Arabidopsis thaliana: one gene and its partners. The main gene of each other region encodes a partner of the protein of the gene in region 2 in a complex. Each region holds a gene or a part of one and is shown on either strand. Other genes may lie near its edges.

Region 1 (4,156 bases), on a different chromosome or scaffold from region 2:
TTGAAAACATTTGACACGTTCAATCTTCTATTGTCCCCATTTCTATCGTTTCAACTTCTAGGATTGTCTGATTCCTCTTTAACGTTTTTCCAGCTTATGGAGATTGTCAGCGTCTTTGGACCTTTGAAAGCATACCGGTTCGTGAGCAACAATGATCTCAATCAGCGATGCGCTTTCCTAGAGGTTAGAATGTACTTTTATTTGTGGCCAAGATACCCCCATCTTAGTCTGCCATCTCGATGTAGTTCTTGTGATTGTTTCATATCTTTAATTTTTCATTTTCCGGGTAGCATGGGAAGGTGTTATTACCTTGTAACTTTTACAGAGTAACCATGAATGTGACTGTAGTTCCAAGTATATTCATATTAACCAGCCCTAACTCTTTTTAAATCTCTATATTTCAGTACACTGATGGATCTGTTACCCTCAAAGCTTGTGCTGGTCTAAATGGTATGAGGTTAGGTGGCAGTGTAATAACAGCCGTTTGTGCATTTCCTGATGCATCATCCGTAGCGGTAATTCAGTGACCCAACTTTGCTTTCGTTAGTTCATGTTGTGTTTGTATGGGTGACATTGAACAGAAATTCCTTTAGTTACTTGTGAGAGTGGTGTGTGTACGTAATATGTGTTGCAGGTGAATGAGAATCCACCATTCTATGGGATACCTAGCCATGCAAAACCACTTCTTGGCAAGCCTAAGAATATTCTAAAGCTAAAAAATGTGGTAAGCATAATTGGTGTATCCTTTTTCTTGTGAATCTTTCCCAAATAAACTATGTGAGGCTATATTAACATTCCATTCTTTCTTGTTTGACAGGTTGACCCAGAAGATCTCACGTCGTTTTCCGAGCAAGAAGTGAAAGAAATTTTGGAGGATGTACGGTTAGAATGTGCCAGGTTAAGCTCTGAGATCATCTTCCCATGAGTCCATTGAGCTTTTAAAAGCTAGTAAATTAAGAAAATAGGCCTCTGGGTCTTGTCATGATGCAGGTTTGGGGTTATTAAGTCGATAAACATCTTGGAACACAAGAGCAAAGATATCACTGTTTCTGAAACAAATCCATTGTTGAACTTAGAATCAACTGATTCTAAAGAAATGAATGTGTCAGTGATCGAGGAGAAAGATGAAGGATCCGAGAAAGCGGAAGATATTGCAGACAATGTAGATCTTGCAGAGGTTGTCATGCCAGACAGTTTGACAGGTGAAGACAAGTTATGTGAACCGTGCTCGGATACTGCTGCTGAAACAAGCACTCAAGAAAATGAAGATCTACACTCCACTGAACAAGAGCATTGTGAAAAGATTGTTGAAGAAAGTGCGCAGGCCGAGGCAGAGAATCCACAAGAAGTAGCATCAGTGCGTACCGTGAAGACAAGATGGGATGCTGGCGACAAGATAGAAGAAGAACAAGAAGAAGACCCCGAGGATGTATTTGAGACGGGTTGTATCTTCATTGAGTACAGAAGACCAGAAGCGACATGTGATGCAGCCCATTCTTTACACGGAAGGCTATATGATAACCGGATTGTGAAAGCAGAATATGTTTCTAAAGAGCTTTACCAAATCCGGTTCCCAAGTGGGTAAATAATCCCACAACAAGTGAGACTCTGTGATTCTTCTCATCTTTACCACATAACCGGTTCAAACCGAGTTCAGAGATACATAGCATCTACAATCAAAAACCCTTCAAAAATCTCTTTGTAATCGTTGGGATTGATCAGGTTGGATTATTCATCACCACCTGTGTCTCGTTACTTTTATGTATTAGAGAATCCAAGAAGGGAAAGATGAAACCATACTATTGTGTTGGTGGCTATATGGACCGGTTTGCTTACTGAAAAATTGTTGTGTTAAAAGAGAACGTAACCTTCTGAATGAGAAAGCGTCTTTCATTTTCTACAAAATAATAAATAAAATGAACCCAATCTCCTTCTTTATCCAAATCCTCCTTCGAAGCAGAAGTAACAGCAACCAAAAATGACGACAATGGCGACACAAGGCGCTTGGCTACGAATGACCTCATCAGCCAAGTCCATGACCAAGTCAACCGTGACTTCAAAGGAGCTTGGATTCCTCACCTCCCAGCTCAGCGGCTTAAGAATCTCATATACTCCCAGTGACGTCATCAACCGTATCTCCCTTCCTTCGTTCCCCGGGATTCAGCCAATCGTCGCACGTAATTCCCCTTTTCCCTTTCTCTTAGGGTTTAGTCGAATGCATTGGCGTACTAAATTTATCTTGCTTTCGTTTTATTCATGTCGAATTTCGAATCTCTGAGTTAGCAAGCTTGTGTTGAATTGTCTGGAACTATGTCTTTGCTTTTAGATATGAAAATGAGCAGTGTATTTAAAACCCGTAGCATAATTTCTCGTATTAAACTTTTCCTTTGAATTTGATGTTATGTTAAAAAAATTCTCCAAAATTGACCACATTTATATGATTCTGAGCATTGGGCAATTTGCTCCTTTTTTCTTGAAACTGTGTTTTTGTTTTCCAAAATGTCAGGTAGAATCTGCCCTTTTACTGGGAAGAAAGCAAACAGAGCAAACAAAGTTTCATTCTCTAACCACAAGACCAAGAAGTTGCAATTCGTCAACTTACAATACAAGAGAGTTTGGTGGGAAGCTGGCAAACGTTTTGTCAAACTTCGTTTATCAACTAAGGCTTTGAAGACCATTGAGAAGAACGGACTCGACGCTGTTGCCAAGAAAGCCGGCATTGATCTTCGCAAGAAATAGATATGATGATCGCAAAGTTTATTATATACATTTCTTGCTTCTCCTTTTGCAGTACTCGTACATTTCCTTTCTAGATTTTGGTAAGTATCAATGGAATCTCTGAGTTGTTGTATCAGACACTGTCAAGAAAAGACTTTAAAGAGAAACGAAAACAAACTCTCACTTGCAGGTGGCTCAAATAATACATTTCATGGTTTTGTTTATGTTTCTCAGATAATATCGTTACAGGTTGTATCAACTGAATTCTCGGGTTTTCCTTTTGAAGACTTCTTAATCGAACCTTCTCCTCCTGCTGATGATCCTTTTAGTTTCCTAGGACGCGATGTAGCCTTCCGTGGAGGAGCTGAACCATCAGGTATTTGATTAGGAACTTCTGTGTCTGGAGCCGGGATACCACCACGCCTTCTGCGAACTGATGGTTCTTGATCATTCGATGAGTCTGTTGACCCGTGTGCGCTTCGGTTATGTCTTGAATGCTTTGATGGTTCATCTGATGATGCAGCATTTCCGCTACTTTTTCTAGGCGGAGACCCGTTATGATTTGGAGAAGCTGCTCCTCCGGGTTTCCGCCTTGTTTTCTGTTTCGGTTTCTCGTTTGTGTTCGAAGGCAGTAACTCTTTTAGCCCGGCTCCACGTTGGTTCGTCCCTATTGAGATACACATCAATTCCTCGAACCAATCCAGATTTGTTCCTCAAAGCTTAACACTTTAAGGGAAAAGGAAAAACACACTTTGCAAAAATAACTAACCTTGCGGGTTGTATTTGTTGGAATTTCCCCTGGAAACGACTTGACCTTTCTCATGTTCTTGAGTTTTAAAGTCATTCATCTGCAGTTTTTGTCCCATAAAAAAACAATAATGAGCACAGATACGTGTGACATGTATGAAAATACGTATAAATGTACGTATGATCTTACCCAGCTTGGTGTGGTGTTGGTTGGACCGTCGGAGCCAATGTGGGCAACATGCTTTACATCGGTCGGAAATCCTATCTGCATCTCCTGCTCTTTCTCTTCATCTGCAATAGAATAATTACATCCACCATGTAATTTGACTTTTGACACAAGAAACACAAATGATTTTTCATTTTTTTCATGTTTATGGGGAAAATGAATGAGACTCACCAAAAATCTGAGTAATGTAACGAAGGCCCTTAAGAAGACCCTTCATTGTCGTCGCCATTGGTCTATAAAGGGTTGGTTCCGGCTAATGTGTATCCACACGCCGGATACAACCTTTGTGGTTCAAGATTTGACGATCGTTACCGTAAACCTAACATGCAGAAAAAGAAAACGAAGAACAAATCAAGAAAAAAGTTGTAAGGCACAAACAAAAAAACAACAGAGAATATAACGAAATCTGAAGACTTAAACCTTGAACGCATGGATTTTCTCTTGACGAGAAAAAAAAATGTTGAA
Region 2 (5,007 bases):
AACTTCCTCGTGTATGTAATTCTTGGTTTCCTGAAAACAATTGCAACTGCAGCTGAGAAATGTACAATAAGCAGCAAAACAGAGACATGGATTTTACAAAAAACAGAAAAAACATACTTTTCCGAATCATCATTGGTTTCGACAAGTTGATCCATGGCAAATTGTTGTTCATTTGCTATACTCATCATACAATGCACAAAAATCTTAGCTGATTGAGGCCAAAAAACACCAGTATCTCTTCTTAACGCCTTAATCAAGTAACTCTACAGTAGTTGTCTATAGTAAATACCGTGAAATATGATTCTTCGATATTACAGTAACCACCAATAATATCTCAACTAGCAAAACTTAAACCACGATTCACCACCACGCAACTTCATCAGGATCTAGCTATATGTACAGTGAAAGATTTCAGAGAAGAGAAATTACAGCTCAAAGCCAAAGAAAACTAGCTCATCCTAAACTCACAAGGCTTTAATCTCTCGTATCGGATTCTCTCACCCAACCAAAATAAATAAAAACCTCAAATCGGGAAAAGATGAAAACAGATTATAACATTTCTGCAGTAATCTAAGGTCTTCGACAGCTAGGGTTTTTAGCGCTAATGGGGAATTACATGGATTCCAGAATCCATCAGAAAAGGATAATTAGAAAGAAAAAAAAGTAAGAGTCGCCGATTCTAGAAGAACAAAAGGAGAACGGAGAAACCAATTAGGGTTTCGATCTGCAGAAAGATAATTTTGCTGTTGCTGTTTGTTTTGATCGATTGATGATGAAAAAGAGAAGATCGAAACCAAGTCTTACAAAGAAGAGCGATTTCTCTCAAAGGGGAAGGTAAAATTGACAAATCCACGCGCTAGCTTTTCACGTTCACTCACGCGCTACATTTTGTATAATCCACAAAACTTTCAATAAATTACAGAAAAACCTTGATAAATTTTTACCATAACAACAAGATCCCTGATATTATTTTCAAATTGACTCATAAAGCATTACAAAAGGAGATGGTTTTTCTGAAACATGAAATGGTTGGTTACAGAAGACGATACATACAATAGGCAGCTATGTTCATCATCTCTTTCCTTTTCCTTTAGCATCAAAGTGATGAGACTTTAGTTTCTTCTTCCGCACTATCGCGCCTGTGCTGCCACCACCTCCTTCCCTGAAAGGCATTCCCATTAGAGCCAATAGTTTCTGTCCTTCTTGATCGCTTTTAGCCGTTGTGCTGATGCATACATCCATTCCTCTCGTTTTTCCAACGGCATCAAACCTAGAGTGTAATAAACCAACCAACCAACATAGAGTTTAGTTGCTCGGTTGTAAACAAAGAGTGGGACTAAAGAGAAACCATGCTTGATCTTGTTGAACCAGCGGATAACAAGTTAGTAGTTTTGATTTTGAGGGTAGATACAATAGAACTAACCTGATTTCAGGGAATACACCTTGGTCTTTCACACCAATACTGTAGTTTCCGTTCCCATCAAAGCTACTGGGACTCACACCTTGGAAATCTCGAGTTCTCGGAAGGGCTAAGTTGATAAGACGATCCAAGAAGGAGTACATTACCTGTCACAACAGTCAAAATCACAAAATGTTAATACATAAATAACTCAAAAGGAAAGTTTGATTAGTCAAGAGAAATATAGCTCACATCTCCTCTGAGAGTGACAGCAATCCCAAGAGGTTGATCTTCCCTGATCTTGAAAGTAGCAATGGAAGCTCTAGCTCGTGTCTTAATAGGTTTCTGCCCTGTGATAAGCGCGATATCCTTCATCGCAGCCTCCAAACCCTTGTCGTTCTGCGCCGCATCTCCAATACCACAATTCACTACAATCTTCTGTACCTTTGGAACCTGGTAGAGAAGATGTCCAAGCAGATATACAACAATGATGAGATTGACAAATTCACATTCACATTTGTAAATGGCACATCCCAACAGCACGATTTTATCAACACAACAATCTTAAATCTAGGCTTCTTCACTACATTTTCTAGAAGAAATCAATTCAAACTTATCATTAAAAGCAAATTAGGTTTAACATTCGCTCAAAAAATTCGAATTCACTGAGAATTAGACTTCAATCAATCGCAACAGAACAAAAACTAGGTTTGAGCTCAGAGGGGAAGGATTTGGGGTTACCTGGTGAATATTAACGTACTTGAACTCTTCTTTGAGCGCAGGGATAATCCTCTCGAGGTAAGCGGTTTTGAGGCGTTGAGTTTTCTCGGCTTCAGATTTCTCGACCAGTACAGTTCCAGACGCCGAGACTTTCACCACGTTTCTGAGCGGCGGAGAGAGCATTCGTGCGGAGGATGGAGCCGCTAATGGTGAGAAACGTCCGTGAAACGAAGAAGCGGAAGACTGCAGAAGCGAAGGAGACGCCATTGTCGAAGCTCCAAGTGGATAAAGTGTGAAGTGAGAGCTCTCGGCGTTCGTTGTTGATTAAACCCAATGGCACCTTCGTAATTTGTTGACAGTTTGAGGATAAGGAGTTTTCCGTTTAGCCCCTTTAAAACATAATATTTCAACTAAGGCCCCAATATTTGATAATATACTATTATACTTAGAGATTTTAGATAAAATATAGGGGTTGTTTCATATGGGCCTAAATCTCAGCCCGTTTACTATTTGGGCTTCTAAGGTATAACCCGTACCCGTGTTTTTGTTGTTTTACATATCCACACCGACCTGAGAAGAGTCAAAAACGAAAAACCTCTCTTTTGTCGTTCCTCTGCTTTCTTCGATTTGCTTCTGCTTTCTTCGATTTGCTTCTGCTTTCATCGCGGTTCAGGTCACTCTTTTCTCAGCCATGGCGATTCCTTTCATGGAAACCGTCGTGGGTAAGCTTCAAAACCTTTTTCTGAGACATTTTACTATCCTGTTTCACTCATCGTATTTCGTTTTTGTTTGGGTTTTGCTTTCTGTGTTGTGTGTGTTGAGATTCCATGACTCGTTTGTTTCATATACCATCGTCTCTGCTTCTCGTTTCTAAATTTTGTTCTTTTCTAATAGTGCGTACCTTGATCTGAGGTTTTATTACTCCTACTAGTTTCTTGTCTTACTCGTGCGTTTGATTTGATTTGAGCTTATGTGATTTCATCATCTCTTCCTCGGTTTTAGAATGTACGGAGCTTCTCTGTTAACCAAAATCTAGGATTTGGGAAGAAAAGTCGGAGTCTTTTTTTTCCTCATTCCCGATTGGAAATTGAGAATCTTGAAATTTTTCTTTGTTCAAGTCATACAGCTTGAGGTTTTGGGTTTTCTTGTCAGGGTATTATTATGTTCGTGACTGCAACTAGAGTTTTCTGGAGTTTTTTGAAATGGGTTTTGTGTTGTGGAACCGTATGTGAATGTTGCATCAAAACTCTTTCAGTGCTCCAATGTTTCCATCAGTAGTCAGCACAAGAGATCTTTTTATATCTGGTTGATCAAAAAAGTAGATGATGTTATTGAATTTTCAGTGATGGAGTATCTGTTGTTGTGGCATTTAGAGTAGATTCGTATTTCATCTTCTGTTTTATTCTTTTTCTTACAGGTTTTATGATAGTGATGTACATTTTTGAGACGTATTTGGATCTGAGGCAACTCACTGCTCTCAAGCTTCCAACTCTCCCGAAAACCTTGGTTGGTGTAATTAGCCAAGAGAAGTTTGAGAAATCACGAGCATACAGTCTTGACAAAAGGTTTCGTCTTGATCATATTTATATCATTTTAGTTTTTTATAATTGCCAGGGGATATCATCACTGAGAACTTTAATATATGCAGCTATTTTCACTTTGTTCATGAGTTTGTAACTATACTTATGGACTCTGCAATTTTGTTCTTTGGGATCTTGCCTTGGTTTTGGAAGGTACATATCTGGTTTCGGTATACAGTATCTCATTTTGAATATAGAGTTGTTACATTACAATTGTAAAGTTTTCATTTTTACCTTAGATGTCTGGAGCTGTTTTACCGAGGTTGGGCCTTGATCCAGAGAATGAAATACTGCATACTCTTTCATTCTTGGCTGGTGTTATGACATGGTCACAGGTGTTCCAAATAAACCCCTTCATATAGTCCTATACGTTTAGCATCAAAATATCTATTTTCTTAAGATAATAATATTTCTTTTATATTCTGATGCAGATCACTGATTTGCCATTTTCTTTGTACTCAACTTTCGTGATCGAGTCTCGGCATGGGTTCAACAAAGTATGTCGTATTTCCAACACTACCTTGTGACTTACGTTTTTTTATCAGAGATGTGGATTAAATTTGCTTCTAAATTCTGTTGACAGCAAACAATATGGATGTTCATTAGGGACATGATCAAAGGAACATTCCTCTCTGTCATACTAGGCCCACCCATTGTTGCTGCGATAATTTTCATAGTCCAGGTTTGATGATTCTGGATTCATCTTATTTCTGAGTTTTTCACATGGATGACTATTCTCCATTGAGTGTGAGCTTCAAAGTTTTTAGTTTTCGTGTTAAAAATTTAAAATTTGCTTCTCTGAGCATGAAGTTTCTATCTTTTTCCAGAAAGGAGGTCCTTATCTTGCCATCTATCTGTGGGCATTCATGTTTATCCTGTCTCTAGTGATGATGACTATATACCCGGTCTTGATAGCACCGCTCTTCAACAAGTTCACTCCTGTGTGTATTTCTGTCATGGCCATTTTACAATTCACTGCTTGTTTGCATATGTTGTTACCAGACAATATAATCTCCCGCTTTTTTATGGCTATAGCTTCCAGATGGAGACCTCCGGGAGAAGATTGAGAAACTTGCTTCTTCTCTAAAGTTTCCTTTGAAGAAGCTGTTTGTTGTCGATGGATCTACAAGGTCAAGCCATAGCAATGTGAGAAGCTTGAGATCTCTTCCTACCTACTTTACTCTAGTTTACCATTAGAAGCTTACGTATCTTGTTACATCATACAGGCTTACATGTATGGTTTCTTTAAGAACAAAAGGATTGTTCTTTATGATACGTTGATTCAGCAGGTACTGTGACTCTTGATGC
Region 3 (4,806 bases), on a different chromosome or scaffold from region 2:
CATTAAAAAGGGGAATGCTGTTGTGGATATGAGAAGGTCTTGCATTCTTGGGGTTATATTCCGTTTTTGACATATGGTCTTTGGTGATTGCTTCAGGGATTTGCAGAAAGCGACGTGTAATTTCACGACTTTGATAGGCCAAGGAGCATTTGGACCTGTCTACAAAGCTCAAATGTCTACTGGTGAGATCGTGGCTGTGAAAGTTCTAGCCACTGATTCTAAACAGGGCGAAAAAGAGTTTCAGACAGAGGTAAGATATATCTATGGATTCATTTCCGAAGAACAAGTTAGTGTGTAAAACATGTAGCATTAGGCAGACTTTTAAGCATTACAATAGGCTTTCTGAAATCTCTAATACTCAATTTATTAGTTGTGTCATCTATAAGACAGGCTACATGAATGAACAATCTATATATCTTACTCTCTTAGTATCTGCTTAGTTTCTTGAAAAACTCATCCACTCGCCTTAATCTTTTCAGGTTATGTTATTGGGAAGGTTGCATCACCGTAACCTAGTGAACTTGATTGGATACTGTGCAGAGAAAGGCCAACACATGCTTATATATGTTTACATGAGTAAAGGAAGCTTAGCTTCTCATTTATACAGTAAGTAACTACCTGGTTATACATACCATATTAATCTGCTTGTCACTAAATGAACTGTTAATGCAATGTTGAGCTATTCGGTATCTTTGTAGAACATTTATTGAGTTGATGGTTTAGACTTCACTAAATGATGAGCCTTGGTAAAGATTTGAGATGCACTAAAATGGTACTTTTGATACAGGCGAAAAACATGAACCGCTGAGCTGGGATTTGAGAGTATATATTGCTTTAGACGTGGCACGTGGTCTAGAGTATCTTCATGATGGGGTAAGCTGCTTGCTAAAACCATTCACCATTTTAATGCATCTCTTAAACAACAACTTCAAAACTCATGTTCTAATCAATTGTTCCAGGCTGTTCCTCCTGTAATCCACAGAGATATCAAATCTTCCAACATCTTGCTGGATCAATCTATGAGAGCTCGGGTAAACATATCTTCTTTCTCTTTGAAATCTCAGTCTATTGAACCACCTCAAGTTTCTAATGGTGATCTTCTTTAACTTCAGGTTGCTGACTTTGGCCTCTCCAGAGAAGAAATGGTAGACAAACATGCAGCTAACATCAGAGGAACATTTGGCTACCTCGATCCCGAATACATTTCAACAAGAACATTCACCAAGAAAAGCGATGTCTATGGCTTCGGAGTTTTGCTTTTCGAGCTTATAGCAGGAAGAAATCCTCAACAAGGTCTAATGGAATTGGTTGAGCTGGTAACATAAAACTAAAAAGTCCTCGAAATCTCCAATTGTTTTGTTTGGAGAATTGCATGTAAAGACTAAACGTTTTGTTGTTGTTGATGAACAGGCGGCTATGAATGCAGAGGAAAAAGTCGGATGGGAAGAGATAGTAGATTCAAGATTAGATGGGAGATATGATTTACAAGAAGTGAATGAAGTAGCAGCTTTTGCTTACAAATGCATCTCTCGTGCACCTAGAAAACGTCCTAACATGAGGGACATTGTTCAGGTTTTGACTCGTGTTATTAAAGTGAGACATTGCAGAAAGCGGCAGAAGAATTCTCCGTCGCCGTCTCCACGGCTTCCTCCTCCTCCTCCGATAGTGGAGGAGTCAGAAGGTGAGTTAACTGCAAACGGATCATTACGATCAGAAATTCATCGGAGGGATAATTCCTTGGACAGTAGTATAGCTGAAGACGTGATTTTGTAAACAAAATGAAAAAAAAGTCTCAATTTTTTTAATTATTATTAACTTTTAAAATGTGATTTTGTTTTTCAATTCTTTTGGGTTTTTAGACGCTAGATTGTCTATATTTGTGAATGAAAATTTGTTCTTTGTTTTTTCGTGTTAAAACGAGTTCAAAACTGGAGAACCATATTATATATTTGGGCTATGAAAAGAATTGAATTCAAGGCCCAATTAAAACCTAGCCTAGCCCATTAAGGTTTAGTGATAATACAGTGTCGTTTAATCGTTTATCCAATTTTTATCGTCATCTGTGGAACGGATAGGACGAAGGAAAAAGAAGAAGAGTGAAAGTTGCAGAGCGAGAAAAAATGGCAACCATGTCTGCTCTTCAGAGCTCTTTTACTTCTCTTTCTCTATCTCCCAGCTCTTCCTTCCTCGGCCAGCGTTTAATTTCCCCGATTTCCCTCTCCGTCACTTCTCCGGTAACTTTAATTTTCGATTTCTGGTCAATTCAGGTTTTTAATCATTGTTCAAGCTTTTAGGTTATGTAGTTCACTTGTTTGCGTAATAGATTAGGTTCATGTCTTCGCTTTTCATATCCAAACCCATTTCATCAAGTAACTCTCAAATTGAATCTGTGTTGTTGCTCATTTTAAGTTTGAATTTTGCTTACTGGGATATAAAATTTTGTGCATTGTCTATGTTTAAGTGTAACTACTGAATTGAGATGAAAGTTATGAGGACTTAAAACGTCATCCTTTAGACTGATTGACTAGTTATTGGTTTGGAATCAATGGACTAGTACTTGTAAATGCTATACTTTTTAAACGAACGAAAATGTGCGTGTGATGGCTCACATTGAGTAAAGTGGCTATCTTGTTCATTTGGTTGTGATTTTTTGCATTTTCTTATGAAATGCAAAATAGCTGCAATAGGATATGGTTTCTTTGTTACTCTGCTGATTATTTTATACTCATTGCAGGTCAAGCCCGCTGAGAACCCATGTCTTGTTCTTGCAAAGGTTAGTCCACAGATCCATTACATTAACATTCTGCATTATTCGTTAATATACTAGCTTTGAAACCACAATAATTCTTTAGATTTTGTACACATCAAAAGCAAAAAGGAAAACTGTTGATAGATTCTTTTGAAACAATGAGATTGGAAGATGATTTATGTGTTTTGCGTTTTCAGCTCAAGCGTTGGGAACGAAAAGAATGCAAACCAAACAGTCTTCCGATTCTCCACAAAATGCATGTCAAGTTTGGAGATACAGTCAAAGTAATATCTGGACGCGACAAGGGTAAAATCGGAGAGGTTACTAAGATTTTCACTCACAACAGTACCATTGTGATCAAAGATGTGAACCTCAAAACAAAACACATGAAGAGCCGAGAAGAGGGAGAGCCTGGTCAAATTGTCAAGGTCAGAAATCATAGTTTTGTAGCTTTCCTTTACTTTGCAAGATTGGAGTGATGATTGAAGATTGTGCGAAATGTATTATGCTTTCCAGATAGAAGCACCTATCCACAGCTCAAATGTGATGTTGTATTCAAAAGAAAAAGACGTAGTAAGCCGGGTGGGTCACAAGGTACTTGAAGATGGACAGAAGGTAAGATATCTGATCAAAACAGGGGAACTCATCGACACCATTGAGAAGTGGAAGCTACTTAAGGAGGCTAAGGATAAGGAAACCACCCAAGTTGCAGTTACCTCCGCATCTTAGCGTCTCATTTCTTTCTTCTTCAGTGCACTTTTGATATAATAGACCTATGCATTGGATGGATGTATTGAATCCCTTTTAAGGTAAATTATAATATTTCTGCTCCCCTCATGAACACCTCTTAGCATGATTTAACATATTAATCGAACTAAAGCCGGGTACTCTTGAGTCTTGTCTATATCAATATTGATCGTTATTGACAATGTTAGACCGGCCTATCAAATAAACTGAACCAAAAACTAAACATATTAATGACTCCGCCATAACCTTAAGCACCTACAGTAATTTATTCAAAAGATACAATCTTTAAAATGAGTGCACGTTACAAAGTTAAAGCAAACAAAGTTTCGAGGGAACAAAGTGCAAACGCTTCAAAATGGTTAAACCATGTTCTTGAAGTTGTCAGAAATCAGGTCGCTTTTGGGTTTGCGTACCTTCATCTGCGTACACCGTTTCCACTTTACATATAATACCAGTAGATACACGAGGAATAAGCCCCCTTCATATATGATGAGGAAGAAGAATGAGAGACCATGCATCATGTACATCAAAAGGAAATAAGAGAAGACGAGGGGCACCGTAATAATGAAATACCACCACTCATATGCTCTGCCAACTGGTAAGAGAATAAATGAAAATAGGATAGCTATGGAAAACGCTACCGTATTGCATCCCCATAGTTGGAATTCCGAAAACCTCATACCATTCTTTTTAACTTTATCTAGTTTTTCTTTGTCTAGCAGTTGGGCTGCAGTCTGAAAAGTGGCTGAGATTATCAAAGCTGCTATTACTAGAAGAGCGTTACGTGATCCGTCTGATATGCGACTCCTGTAACGTGCAATTCGCGTCTTGCAATGTTCCTTGAAAGTGACCGGTTCCCTCAGGAAGATATACCATTCCTGAATTCCGGATAGAGAGCCTCCGGTCTTACCACCGGACATTTGTATGATTTCCTCTATTTCTTTGTTCATGTGAGATCCTCTGGCTCGTAAGACATCAAGGGCCGTCATGCCACTTTTGTTCTGGATGTTCCGGTCCAGTGACAGGCATTTTACCAGCTGTTTTACTACCTGAATAATAACATAAATTATTCAAAGAGGATGTGAGTTTAATGATGTTAAGACTTAAGAATGACATAAATGAGTGTTTGGTCTAACAACTTCTTGGTCAATTTAATTTCTGATAGTATGTGGTTATATTGAATTACATATTCACATCCCAAATATACTAGCGTATAATTAAAGAGAACACGGATCAACCATTTAAACATCTTATGGACGATAAAACAAAAAAGTTCAAACCAAATTTGAATGACTGACTTTAAAAGACAA
Region 4 (4,927 bases), on a different chromosome or scaffold from region 2:
TTAAAATAGTTGTGGGCAGATAGATCTTTTGACTTAATTGTAATATAAGGTATTAGGTGAATCATCGTGGTCCGATCATTGCTATATCAACAGTTTTGTTATCCAACTACAATGGTAATGAGAAATCAACATGTGAAAATCTACTACTGCTAGTTAACAAGAGCATCGATCTCAAATCAAAAACATTAAATTAACAACCATCTCAGTATCTCACAGGTTTGTTGGCTTCCAGAAATGACTACATACCTGTCAAGAACTCATATATAGCAGCCTCGATAGCAAACTACTAGTAAACGAAACATGACTTCTTATTGAACTATGTTTATATCAGTCGTATTCAAACTTTTAAGAAAAGAAAAAACAAAGAGAAGAAACTACTAATTTGAGATTATTTTATCACTAGTCCCCACTTCTGAAAGAAGATTTCAACACCACTGAGTCAGAAAAATTATTGGCCAGATCTTCAATATACTAATAAGAAAAGGACAAAAATAGTAAAACAAAAACCAAACCCATTGTTGGTTGACTAACAAAAAAAACTAACAATGAAGTCTCAATGAGATTTACCAAGATGAGATTTTTCTACTACATTCGATTGCATAAACGGATTTTATTTTGAAAGTGAATCGCTGAAATCTAGGGTTTCATGCCCAAACAAGAAACATCATCGGAAACATAATCGTATTAGTTGAATCCTTAAAATCTGTAAGAAATATCACTTTACCTCATAGACTCGCCGGAAAAAAAATCCAAACCCAGCCGGAATCTACCACCGAATACCTCATCTACGCACACAAAGACAGAAACTTTAACGCACCATTCTATTTCTAAGCCCACCATTGATTCCTCAATAAATTCCTAATTTTCCCGCCAATGTTTTGGATTTTTCCTTTTATTTATTTATCTTTATTCTTATTTGATGTTTTTCGAACTTCGAATGATTACTAGTTTCTTTGTCAGATTGGATGATAATTCTGATGAAACATGAAGGAACGATTTCAATCTTTAAGGGATTCATGTAAACTACTTGATAAGGAAAGTGTTTACACCAAAAGAAAAACAAATACAAGATGGTTCAGCAACAAATAACAGAGATTAACAACATCTCGAGGAAACAACAAGGAAGAGACCATAAATCAATAGCGGGTTTTTTCAAGCAGATTTAGCAGCTTCAGCTGCTTCTTCTGCAGCTTCTTCTTCTTGAAGTTTCTTCAGAGACGGAGGTGGTCTTGGTACTATGCTTTTCTTCCATTGTCTGTCAAGTTTCCTCGACAACCTTTTCTTTATCCCTTCTTTGATCTCCCTCTCTCTTTTAACCGTCAACATCCGAGCAACCTAAATCACCCACAACCAAAAGATCACATCTTCAGTACCAGAAAAGAGACGGACGTAAGCCAAAAAAACCAAGAAATCTCTACTTGAATTTAGTGTCATCTCCAGCTAAGTTGGGTGGATTAGTCACTTAGAGCTCAAGATTCATGTCTGATTGAAATCCCAGCAATCAGTAAAACCAAAGCAAGTAAATTCTCATCTAAAGCTAGTTTGGTGCATTGGCACACTTAAAAGACTAAACAAACGATATCGCAAAGCTCAACATTCATGTCTAACTGAAACCGTAGTATCCTAAGAACATATTCGAAGCTTGTGTGCAAGAATCTATAAAAGGGGATGGATTGAACTCAATATTAAATCTCTAATTCCATTCCACCACCTACCAAAAACAGTATTAGATATCACAAAACAGTAACTTACAATGTTGCCATTGTTAGAGTTTAGAATCAACTATAATGTGTAGAACAAACAACACAAAACATTGCTTATAGAGTTCGCTAACATCTTCTACAACTTCATATTAAATAATCCTATTTTCCATGGTGATGATTTCAATGTTTCCATCAATAAACCACATATCCCAATTTTGTTAAACCCTTTCAAAGACTGCCAAAATCGACCAGATAACACAAAGTAGATTTCACAATTTGGAATAATTCTGCATTAAAGAGTAAGAAAAAAGCTTACTTGTTTCTTCATACGACGAAAGTCGCTAGATTTGAACTCATTCCTTGCCGATTTCTGGAGACGAAGCATAAAGAGCTCACCTTTAAGGTCAACAACCTCCTCTTGTAACTGCTCCGTCGTCTTCGATCTTATCTCTTTCAATTCCGCCTCTCTTTTCGACATCATCACCACCGACGGTTTAGGAGACGACGACGATATCGTCGCCGCCGCGGGGACGCGAGCAGAAACCTGGTGCTGGATTCTGACACCATGGAATGAAGACGAAGTTGAAGTCGCCGAAGCAGTTCCTCTACGAAAAATCGCCGCCGTCCCCGGCGTAGCGATTGAGAGACTAAGCATTGTAGCTATGGCGGAGGAAGAAGAAGAAGAGCAGAGTTCTCACTCTCGAGCGATTTTGAGGATAATGAAGAGAAGAAACTCTATGAGATAAGGCTTTTCTTATATCTTACTATTTGCCCCTTTATTTACCTCTAATTACGAAACTGGTCCAAACGTATCAAAAAAAATCAAATAGGTGTCACACAAAACGTAAAATTAAGTAAAGCCCCTATAGTTTTCAAATTGCAGATAGCTCGACATTATTACAGGGGATTTGGAACCAAGTTTATATAATTCTGAAATTGTTTACAAATCAAACAAACATTCGAAAAACTTGCCTCTTTCAAAAGCTAAAAAGTACAAATTTTTGCACCCCCACCTTTTTCTGATATTTACAACTTATCAATACATGATGTTTTTCAAATTTTCTAATTCCGCCGCAGAGTAAAAATAAATATCAGCAGCAACCCCTCTATTTATTCAGAGTAGTCCTCTGTTTTCAGATGCACTCATTCTTCATTTTTTGAGGTCTTTCCATTTTCTTCATTTGGTTGTTACAAAATAACTCAAACCTACGTTGGTTCACGATGTCGAGTTGCCCAACTTGAGCTCAAGGCTCTAAGCCGTTGAAAATACTCACCAAGAGCTAATAATCCTCGAGCCGCTTGTCGCGTTGTCAATATCCGATACATTTGTTGCAATGTTTCATGTCTCAAGTGATCAGCCTAAGAATGAACAAACAAAATCAAGAAACTGATACTATAGTATTTTCAAATGAGTTTGAATATATATATTTTACCTGATTTACGAAACTGACCAAAGCTTCTAATCTATCCATAGCAGAATTCACCTGAGGAATGTAACTTCCTTCACCGAGTTGTCCCGCTGCAACGCAGTCCGCAAGGGTGTGTTGCAGCTTCTCCATACCTTGAGTCAACGCGTCTTCTGCTTGCTGACACGATTGTTTTAGATTGCATACATCTAGAAGTTGTTGATCCGTCAAGACATCAAAATGTGGCAAAAGAACCTACAAAAAAAAACATTTGAAACATTGTAATCTTGCTTGTTTCCTTCTATTCATTAAACATTACGCTAGATTGTTATTTGTTTTATACCTTGAGAAGATCGGAGGGTCGAAATCCGCCAATCCATAAGAAGAATCGTTCTGCTGAAGTTCTCCACATCCCTGACATGACGAAGAAGACATCGGCTTTGGCAGCAGACGATTTCATCCGGAAAAGCTCAAAGTAATGTTTCATGGCGTTTTCGACTAGCGAACGAAGCTCGATATCGTTAATGTGTCCGTGTAAAACTGTTCTTAGTTCACATATCTGTCTGTTCTGTTCTTCAACCCAATGTCCATATTCCATTTCAAATGCAGCAATCCCTGCAAATCAAATAAGCTTCCACCAATCAAAATCTTGAATTCTATATTTTTTCCAAAAGACTCATTGTTCTTGATTCAAAACCTGGATTCATGGTTTCCGAAAAACCGAGAGAATTAGTATCTATTCCGTTTCCTACATAGAATCCCTGAAAACATTCATATTCAATCAGAAATTGCATTATATTTTGGAACTCGAAAGAAAGCGAATATATATTTAGATTTCATTTCATTAACCTGTTGTCTAGCACGATCGAGTTCTTGCTCTAATTGAATTAGCTTCAACCTGCTTGTTTCCAGTTGCTGAACATAAGCCTGCAAAAAAAAAAAACAATCAAATCTCTCAACTCATTAGGCAAACAGAAACAGTTTACCAAGGGGAAGAAAATGAAGTCATACCTTCTTGCGCAAGCGACTTTTCCTAGCAGCCTCGCGGTTTTGAGCAAGCCGTCTTTGTATCTGTAACGATATAACGATTTAGTCTATATGATGCGTAGAAATTTATGATTAAGAAACTGATAGAGAAGTATTTGAATAGCTAACCTTATCGGGATGTCTAGACGTTGAAGCTTCTTGATCGAACATGTGAGGAGTTCCTGCTGTTCCATGGGAAGTATCCTCTGACTATAAAAAAAAAAAAAAGATTGTCAAGAAATGAAAGCTAGTTTAAATTTCTGAAAACAGACCAAACAAATTTATCATCAGGAGGTTGAAGAGCAATGAAGTAAAAAAGTACCACGTTGTTGTCTAGTTTCTGATTATTCGGTATTATTATGTGGTTTGGTGTGTTCATAGTCCCATTGCTAATATTGCTTTTGAAACTCTCCCCCCACATACCGAATTGATGGACAGGTTCGTATATACCAACTCTTCTCGGTGGCACAAAATGTGTCGATGTCGAATTCATGTTTTCCTCAACTGAAAACAAAGAACAAATTGTTTAAACAATGTGACAAAGCATTCAAAATCAAGCAGATCAAGACATTCCAAAGAACAAAAGATGAGCATTAGTTTTCAACCAAAAGTTAGATCACACAAAGTCAAACAAGCATAACACGTAAAGCAAATAGTGAACTTTTGATGTTTCTTCGCCAAATTCTTCGAAGAAAACAGGACAAAATCATCTTTAAATTCCAGAGACTTTATACAAAGAAAGAAACCAGAGGGGACACGGAGATTCCCTAAGACCTTGGAGAGCACCAAAAG

The links.
Region 1: AT4G01310 (region 2) and PRPL28 share a complex: the UniProt entries of both Arabidopsis thaliana proteins name them as parts of the 50S ribosomal subunit.
Region 3: AT4G01310 (region 2) and RPL24 share a complex: the UniProt entries of both Arabidopsis thaliana proteins name them as parts of the 50S ribosomal subunit.
Region 4: AT4G01310 (region 2) and AT5G65220 share a complex: the UniProt entries of both Arabidopsis thaliana proteins name them as parts of the 50S ribosomal subunit.

What each region holds. Positions count from the first base shown.
Region 1 is NC_003071.7:14,171,642-14,175,797, forward strand, and holds PRPL28 (Ribosomal L28 family), read left to right. Parts: upstream 1-1,937; 5' UTR 1,938-1,978; coding exon 1,979-2,177; intron 2,178-2,502; exon of another isoform or gene 2,503-2,506; coding exon 2,507-2,739; 3' UTR 2,740-2,948; downstream 2,949-4,156. Other genes in the region: AT2G33435 (RNA-binding (RRM/RBD/RNP motifs) family protein), read left to right, coding at 94-183, 405-515, 635-724, 818-897, 991-1,585; RIC1 (ROP-interactive CRIB motif-containing protein 1), read right to left, coding at 2,949-3,385, 3,488-3,566, 3,656-3,756, 3,863-3,920.
Region 2 is NC_003075.7:543,095-548,101, forward strand, and holds AT4G01310 (Ribosomal L5P family protein), read right to left. Parts: upstream 2,473-5,007; 5' UTR 2,387-2,472; coding exon 2,141-2,386; intron 1,853-2,140; coding exon 1,652-1,852; intron 1,567-1,651; coding exon 1,424-1,566; intron 1,271-1,423; coding exon 1,072-1,270; 3' UTR 817-1,071; downstream 1-816. Other genes in the region: AT4G01290 (chorismate synthase), read right to left, coding at 1-30, 118-188; ATSTE24 (Peptidase family M48 family protein), read left to right, coding at 2,811-2,841, 3,537-3,684, 3,768-3,852, 3,939-4,034, 4,131-4,196, 4,283-4,381, 4,527-4,640, 4,735-4,845 and 1 more. UniProt on the Arabidopsis thaliana protein: Binds 5S rRNA, forms part of the central protuberance of the 50S subunit.
Region 3 is NC_003076.8:22,180,926-22,185,731, forward strand, and holds RPL24 (Translation protein SH3-like family protein), read left to right. Parts: upstream 1-1,917; 5' UTR 1,918-2,120; coding exon 2,121-2,234; intron 2,235-2,734; coding exon 2,735-2,773; intron 2,774-2,946; coding exon 2,947-3,177; intron 3,178-3,265; coding exon 3,266-3,478; 3' UTR 3,479-3,685; downstream 3,686-4,806. Other genes in the region: CRLK1 (Protein kinase superfamily protein), read left to right, coding at 97-250, 480-606, 788-873, 960-1,031, 1,113-1,316, 1,411-1,773; ANK (ankyrin), read right to left, coding at 3,856-4,545. UniProt on the Arabidopsis thaliana protein: One of two assembly initiator proteins, it binds directly to the 5'-end of the 23S rRNA, where it nucleates assembly of the 50S subunit. Required for optimal plastid performance in terms of photosynthesis and growth.
Region 4 is NC_003076.8:26,058,732-26,063,658, reverse strand, and holds AT5G65220 (Ribosomal L29 family protein), read right to left. Parts: upstream 2,495-4,927; 5' UTR 2,359-2,494; coding exon 2,020-2,358; intron 1,336-2,019; coding exon 1,153-1,335; 3' UTR 977-1,152; downstream 1-976. Other genes in the region: AT5G65225 (uncharacterized protein), read right to left, coding at 725-729; TGA1 (bZIP transcription factor family protein), read right to left, coding at 2,910-3,062, 3,137-3,364, 3,453-3,724, 3,807-3,870, 3,959-4,036, 4,121-4,180, 4,265-4,345, 4,458-4,628.